2 linked regions of the Coturnix japonica genome follow. The protein of the gene in region 2 purifies or fractionates together with the protein of the main gene of each other region. This does not show direct contact. Links are inferred from orthologs where the notes say so. Each region holds a gene or a part of one and is shown on either strand. Other genes may lie near its edges.

The links.
Region 1: the proteins of SCLT1 (region 2) and KIZ purify together in Homo sapiens (co-immunoprecipitation; 3 studies listed by BioGRID and IntAct, counting the BioPlex papers as one, with this or other methods). This does not show direct contact. The link is inferred for Coturnix japonica from reciprocal best matches to the Homo sapiens genes SCLT1 and KIZ.

The regions. Positions count from the first base shown.
Region 1 is NC_029518.1:4,145,156-4,149,071, reverse strand, and holds the start of KIZ (centrosomal protein kizuna), read right to left. Parts: upstream 2,467-3,916; 5' UTR 2,409-2,466; coding exon 2,320-2,408; intron 2,152-2,319; exon of another isoform or gene 2,039-2,151; intron 1,925-2,038; exon of another isoform or gene 1,776-1,924; intron 610-1,775; coding exon 547-609; intron 1-546. UniProt on the Homo sapiens protein: Centrosomal protein required for establishing a robust mitotic centrosome architecture that can endure the forces that converge on the centrosomes during spindle formation. Required for stabilizing the expanded pericentriolar material around the centriole.
Region 2 is NC_029519.1:30,028,418-30,032,333, reverse strand, and holds the start of SCLT1 (sodium channel and clathrin linker 1), read right to left. Parts: upstream 2,383-3,916; 5' UTR 2,299-2,382; coding exon 2,271-2,298; intron 1,970-2,270; coding exon 1,908-1,969; intron 1,600-1,907; coding exon 1,508-1,599; intron 1,092-1,507; coding exon 1,022-1,091; intron 871-1,021; coding exon 815-870; intron 440-814; coding exon 307-439; intron 1-306. Other genes in the region: C4H4orf33 (UPF0462 protein C4orf33 homolog), read left to right, coding at 2,583-2,609, 2,986-3,175, 3,699-3,759. UniProt on the Homo sapiens protein: Adapter protein that links SCN10A to clathrin. Regulates SCN10A channel activity, possibly by promoting channel internalization.

The sequences.
Region 1 (3,916 bases), on a different chromosome or scaffold from region 2:
GAAATTTCATGGCTTATGTGTAAAAGAAGAGAGGAAAAGAGGAGAAGCTTTGAGATAAAACACAATTATTAAGAGACTACATGGCTTTTTAAGCTCCGTGTGTGTGTGTGTGTGTGTGTGTGTGTGTGTAACTTACATTAAAGAGATAATGCAGAAACAATCCAGGGAGCAAACTTAGAACCTAGAATATTCTTTATCACTTCCTAAAACTTTCAGGCATCCTGTGACACGATAACTGTAGCACAGAGCACGAGAGAGGAAACACTTCCTATATTTCACACTACAATGACTTCACATTGGCGTGCATGTTAGTTTTGTGCAGTTGTTAAGATAGTAACATTCAGTATTAACATAGCAAGGTAGCTATGTTGTCATAAGCTATTTCACCAATAACTTCAAGGCTTGAATCTTCCGTTGCACTTAAAAATATCAATATAAAATCAGTTATAGAAGTCCCTTGAGTGCCACTCCGTAAGCACTCCATGATATTGAAGTCTTTGTAAGTGAAATTAAACAACCAGTGAGAAGTCTTTCAATCAGGCTTACAGGTATGCATCGGAACTCTTATATTCCATCAGCTTCCTTTCCAATTGTAGCCTTCTGGTTTCACTGAAAGAAAACATACCACATAGGATAAGACACAATTATTTCATAACTTAAATACCCAAAGCACACATGGGCATAGGCCCACGGGGAGGATAGGGCTGCTTAAGAAAAAAAACCCTCTGTTTTCAGAAGGAGAAATGAATAACGGTGATAATATTACTTAATAACCACGGACCATTTCTGACAGCAAGAAACCATCCCATGAGCAAAAATAAACAAAGTCAAGGGCTTCCAGTAAACTCGCATTGTAAACCCTGCACGTTATTAAATCAAAGCATGTTCCTTATGGCTTTTTTGTTTGCTTCTTCTATTAAAAAATGAACACACATTTGTACTAGCTAGGAAGGCTGCGCATGTGAGTGTGATGTGGACAAGTCTGTATGCACACACGTGGCTAGGCATGCTTTTCCATGTGCCTGTGCTCCCCTATGAACAGCCTCATGTCACAGCCACACATGTTCACCTCCTCCCAGCTGCCCTGCACAGAGGAAAGCAAGGAAAGGCTTCCTCCTCCACAGCCCGTGAGATCAAGGCATCCATTTTACCCATCTGATCCTGCCACGGTCTGAAGCAAGATTACGTTTTCATGTCATGTATGCAATTTAAAAGCCACGCTTCATCTGGGATCTCATCCTTTCAATTTCCTTTTACATGATGGACAGCTAAGCAAAACCAGATTTCAAGATCTTGTTTTTACACTTCTAGAAGTAATTTTCCTGACTCGATGAAGAACACTGTGATATCCTGATGGATGTAAAAGTCAGCAGATGCCATTGGCATCTCTCCTATTTCTCATTCCCCAGTACCATAGGCAGCACGTTGTTAGTTCATCAAAGATTGCTTTCTTTCTCCCAGTGTGCTTTGCCAGCATCCCACTCACCGGCCTGTCCTGCAGATACACAGGTAGCACCTGAGTATGTAATTCAGATCTTCTCTAGAAGGAAGATAGAGAAATGTAGCAACTGTCATGTGAGAGCCTCTCAGCATCTGAGTATTATAAATGCCTGGAACAGCAAACCACAAGGCTCACGCTGCTTTGCTCTATTCATGCAATGAAGTGGAAGCCCTGGAGTTGTTCTAATACAACTTTGGTGTCAGTCACAGGAGTGAAGCCTGAAGGAATACAAGGGTTACCTTTGGCCGCTCTGTTACTACATCACCTTTTTTACCTGAAGAACAAAGCTCTCAGCCTGGGATTTTTATTCCCATTAGGTTAAAGCAAATGATCAGTTATAAAATTCCTTCTCAAACAGGCAAGAACTGCTGAACTTTGTAAGGATGCAGGTGGCTCATTTTCAAACAACCCCGATTCCTCAGCCTAAAGAAAAAGAGGGTCAGCTTGGGATTTGAAAGCAGAATTAAAACTCCCTGCTCAGCTACAAGCTCTGGCATTCCACCAGGCATTGACCTGCAGCGATATCTGATCCCTCACCTCTCATTTAAACCAGCAGGACTAAGATGCCTCAATGCTTCCTGCAATATCAGGCCTCAGCCTCTTAGTGCTTCAGCCCCATATCCATAATGCAGGAGGAGCAGTATGACACCCTGTAGAGACAAACACACAGAGAACCGTGAAGCACTTGGATACGACGCAATAAGAACCACCGTAGAACCAGACACGGAATCAACTACCGAGCCCTGCCTCACCACACTCGTTCTCCTCAGCATCCAAACCCGGCCCCACAGCTCCACCCGCGGCCTGCTCCCCCTCACCTGTCTCGGAGGCTCCGCATGAGGCCGCGGAGCTGCCGGCTGTGGGACGGAGAACCCTCCGGGCCCGATGCTCGGCCCGCTCCGCTCATGCCGCGCTGTTTACGGCCGTGGCCAACGCAACGGCTCCCGCCCTGCCCCGCGCCGCCCGCCCGCCCCGCCCCGGAAGGCCGCGCTGTGTGGATTGAGGGGGAAGGGAAGCGGGTTGGGGCTGTGTGTGGAGTCGAGCTGCGGGTTGGAGCGTGGTTAACTGCAGTATGGGGCCTGGAGTGTGTCCAGAGAAGGGCAGCGGAGCTGTGAGGGGTCTGGATGCGGAGCTCATCAGCCCCAGAGCCTCAGCAGAGGGATGATCCCCCACAGTGATAACCCCATTCCAGCTGCTGTGCCCACAGGGCAGCATTTGCCTACAGCCTTAAACTCAGTCCTCCAAGCTTAAATGTACAGCAGAACCTCTGCCGGAGTGATGCAGCAGTACTTATAATGCCCCCCAAATTAGCTTCTGTCACTTGAATAATCATAACTACTCTCTGGCTTAGCCTCTGTATATCCACTATAAATAAATGGCTCTATAAGATACAGAAGGCTGTAGGTGGTGTAAGAGCTTGTCTACTGAAGAAAATCCGTATGCAAAGTGTTTGCAGATTTGGGAGCCTTTTGTTATTGAATTCACACGAAACGCACTCGTAATAAAGGGTGCACTGTTCTTTCTCGCTCTTCTAGCTATTGAAAGCAAGTATGTGTTATTGAGACCTCACCACAGCCCCTGTTTCACATCTTAACAAAAGACAACAGAAGAAATGTAGATCTGGCCTTGCTTGAGTTTCCAAAGCTGGATAGTTTTAACCCCAAGATATGGATGGAAGCCACCCTGCCTCAGCCACCGCTTCTCAGTGTGGGGTCTTGCCACTCCAACTGGAGCCGCTCCTTGGCTGCTTGGAAATAATAAGGTTTTCATAGCAGCTTCATAGTTAAATTGCTTGCAAGAGCTCGTATTGCTAATATCTACGTCAAAGTAAATAATCTCCCCTCTGACACTGAGGTGAGACACTAAAAACTTGCTATTTACAAATGTCAGCCATGAAACACCCTGTCAGCCTGACACATACTTTGAATGCATCGCTGATTGTCGGTGCAGAAAACTGTCAAATGCTACATGGCATTTGAACAAGAAAACACTTTTCATATACTACAATTTTGTTATTTTTCAAAACAGGCAAAGAATTTGGCTTTGTCAGGGCCGTACTGGTGACAAACCAGGCTTGGTTCTGGAAGACTAAACTGCTTTGGAAAATATTTGTGCTTGCTAAAATAATATCAAAACTTTCAAACGCTTCTATTGCCATCAGAAGCTCTGAACGTATATTATATTTACCTACTGGAAAATGTTATTCCCCCAACCATGACTTCCAGGTCTCTGCGGAAAGGGAATCAACTGTCCAGTCTCAGAGATGGGACCTGTAGGACCGCATGGTTTGTCTCACAGCCCACACCAGCCCTGCTGATGGTGACCCAGTGCCAAGCAAACATGAGGCCAGGGGTCCTGAGGAGCTGTCGCCTGGCCCCTCCAGTGTATTTCCCACCTTATGCCCCTTGACCATTT
Region 2 (3,916 bases):
AACCCAACAAAACATTTGCTTCACGTTCTGGACAGAAATTCAACAAGGTAAAAATCAGAGGCACTAATTAACATAAAATCTTCCTACTTGTATGAAACTAGAGAGGGACTTCCTTCAGGTTTTGAAGTTGAAAATATAAGTACGGGTGTGCTTGAGGTTTTCTTTAGATCCACACCATCAGGAAGGCCTCAAAATGCTGTCAGGGATCTGTTATAAACCAATTCTGAACCAAGAAATAAACTATCCTTCCCTAATCTGCCAAGGGGCAGAAGAAATAGAAAAGTACAAGCGTTTCATCTCACACACTTGGTTTGCGAGTTGTAGTTGCTCCTGAAGGTTTCTCAGTATTTCTTCATCTGCAGGAATAGCAGTTCCCAGCGGCGTGAAAGGAAGAGCATCCAGCTGCATCTCAAGAGCCTCTTTCAACTCTGCATGCAGCCTGAAATGCAAAGGACTAAGTTCAGCAAAGTATTTAATGCAATGTTTATAAACTAACTGAGGTACCGTGCCTTTGGTTTGTATGTACCATACATCCCTGGCTCACGTTTAAATATATCGAGCAAGATATGTTCTATGAAAAGGGTTATAAATAGTTTAATACCGAGTTCTTTTGCAGAGATATGGCTAAGCCTCCGAAGTTGGTGCTGTAATCTATATTAAACACCTAGAGTAACATTAAGCACGAGTATGAAATCTTCAACTATTAAGCGGATTCAAACATTCCCAAGCCTTAGGAAAAAGAGTTTAAGATTTAAGAGACAGAAAAAAAAACCCACATGAAAAATAGCAGCAGTAGTTCAGTGCACTTATTTACCTTCTGTTTTCCATGGTGACTTGTTCAAATTTCTGTCTCATTTCACTCATTTGCACCTAATAAAAAAACAGCTTTGTGGCAAACGGCGGCAACTTCTTATTTCAATGAGCAATACTGAAAACACTGACAAGGTTAGTTCAGCACAATGCCATCCATGACATTAAGACTTTGTTTTGCAGGAAAAGTCACAGGATGCCAGAAACATACCTGATAAATCTGCAGCTGCTCCCTCATTTCTTCCAAGCACTTCTCATACTCTACGCTCTTTGTTATCAAGCTGAAACATGGAAAAACATGCTTAGAATCCATCTGTAAATGCTGAAATGTTGTTCTGACAATTAACCAGCTTCACAGAATTCATGATCTGAAGAACAGAACAAAACCGTCGCTTCTCTTTATTTCCAAGCCCAACACGCACCACCACCAAGCAAACAACTTCCATCACTACCTTTACAGTATGATCATTAAGCATTAAGCTTTCTAGGCGAGCTTTAATACATTTATATTTCATACATAGATCACAATCCAGGAAGATTAGAAACCAGGCTTTCCTACTGCTTTCAATACAACAGCACAGTAACCTATAAGGTGATGTAAAAAGTTAAACAAATAAACACAGTCCTACTCGTACACTTATTTAAGTAATATAATCTCCCTTTGAAGCAGTATCCCCACTCAACTGGGATCAGTTACCTTTGGTCCATCATCCTGGATCTGGATACACCATCACCTCCAGCGATGTTCTTCTGTAACTGATTATTCTGTGTTTTAGCACCTGTACATGACTGCATGTGGGTTAGTTTTATTTATACTAATGTATGCAAAACAAAGCTGTTTATTCTGTCTACGTTGAAAAGAATATACAGACACCCCAGTAAATGTTTTCAGGTTGGTATTGAAGCCATTGAACATTGGCCAGATTTGAAGGAAATTTTCACTGCTTTTTTTCCAGGAGATGCTTTGATGACAGCTCAGTGAGGGGCTTGAAGCCAAGCAAGACCACACTGAAACACTGTTTCACACACAGATGTATATGAAGATGCATACCTCAAACGTTACTTTTTACCTCGCTTTCACTCCCCAGCTCACATACCTCAGCAGCACTACACAAAACCTCCTCTGCTTCATCCTGCTCAAACACATCCAGCTTCGGATCTGAAAAATACAGGTTAGAGGATCATGCAATGCTAACTGTGAGCTGGGTGAAGCTGGCTGGCACTCAGAAAGACGCAGGTTTGCCCTGAGCTCCACTTAGAGTCACATAACTACAAAACAAGCAGCTACATACAAGAGTAAGGTAACTATACGGTAAGTCAACGCGCGCCCACTCAGAGGGCACTGAGGCAGGAATGATTTTCTTTTGCCGTCAAAGTCTCGCTTGGTTTAAGCTGCATTTAAAGCTGCCCACCCACCCCAAGGCCGGGCACAGCCCCGAGGCCGCCCGCCCAGCTCTCACCCGGCTCTGCCCCGCTGCCGAGCTCCATGGCCGTGTCGTCACGCCAAAGACATCCCCGGCGGGTGAGCGCTGCTAAGGGGAGGGCAAAGGGAAACCGCTCCTCTCGCCCACCCGGTGCGACGGGCACAGCGGGCCGGTAACCGCAGCCCGTTTTTCTCGCCCCCACCTCCACGCGACTGGGAAACGGCCGGTACCGGCTCCTCCCATAACGGGGAGGGGAGCTCAGCGCCGGTCACGTGGAGGGGAGGAGGGTGGTACCGTGCCGGGCTTAAAGCTTCCGGACCGAGCCTGCACGGGGCTTCGGTGTGTGCTATGGGGGTGGTCGGCTGTGGGTGCTGGGTGGGCATTATGAACCCCTCCTCCGAGGAAGTTGCTTTGCTTTGAATTTTCTGCAGTCTTTGTCATACTTCTCACATCACCATCTTGGGTTCTTATATCCATTTACCTCATCTTTTTCACTACTTCCCCCACATCCAATTAAACCTTCCCTCCTTGAGCTTAAAATCATCCTCCCTTGTCCTATCACTGTCCTGTAAGGACTGCATAACACCTCCAGAACGTGATTTCTTTCACTATACTAATGTTGATTTATGCTTATTTTTTCACCTACTTAACTGTGAGACTTTTTTTCTTAACCAAGCAGACAATGAAGTCAGTGTTGGAATGGTAGCTATGTGCTCTGATTGGAACTAATTTTCTTATTTATCTTATGCAGAATGTTAAGATGGAGCTACAAATTGAGCACACGTGGGATGGTTTACCCGTGAGCCATGACCCAGTAACAATTGCATTGAAGCCTTACAATGCAGGACTGCTAATGCAAGTTAGTGCTCCCTTCTTCAATGATCCTCCAGCACCACTTGGAGCTGCGGGGAAACCCTTTAGAAAACTGTGGGACTATGAAGGTAAGTGTAACTTCTGCTGCAAGTATCTGATTAGTGAAGTCACTGATGTTCATCTGTAATTGATCTACCTGGTCGTTATTTAAGTTTCTCTGGCTATTTTTGAAAACTGTTTAATCTGACAGCTTCATCCTGAGCACTCTGGAAAAGACCACTGGCAAAAAACATGGTTGTAACCACCAGCATGGTTAAGAAAGCTCCTTAAGTAACCATGAGCATTGTGGTGTATTCAACTATAAAGTTGAATCAAGAGAGAAACTCTAGTATTCATCACACAATTGACAGTATGGTGAACAGTCAATAAATAGAACTGAGCTGTTGTCATCATGTTGACAGCATTTAAAAAAGCTCAAGGCTGGGATTAATGCACAGCTCTTGAATTAGAAAGCATCAGTGGTGTGCACACAGTCAAACTCAGTGACAGCACAGGCCAAAAACCACTGTGAAAACAATTGACTGTGAAAGGCTTAGAATATAATAAAACAACTAAGTAGTATAAAACATTGACAGCTTGTCTCTTCTTAAGTTGTAGAAGCATTTTTCTTGAGTGACAGGAGTGAGCAGTATCTAGAAGTTGAACTCTGCCCGTAAGTATAGCTTGCTTAAAAAGTCATGAATGCTGATTTGCATTTCTTGTTCTAATGCTTCTAAATGTGTGCATGAGGCAAGGAGTGTGTATAGAAATGACTTCAATATTGAGGACGTGTATTGTTGTGGCAGATAAATACATGAGTAACTTGACAC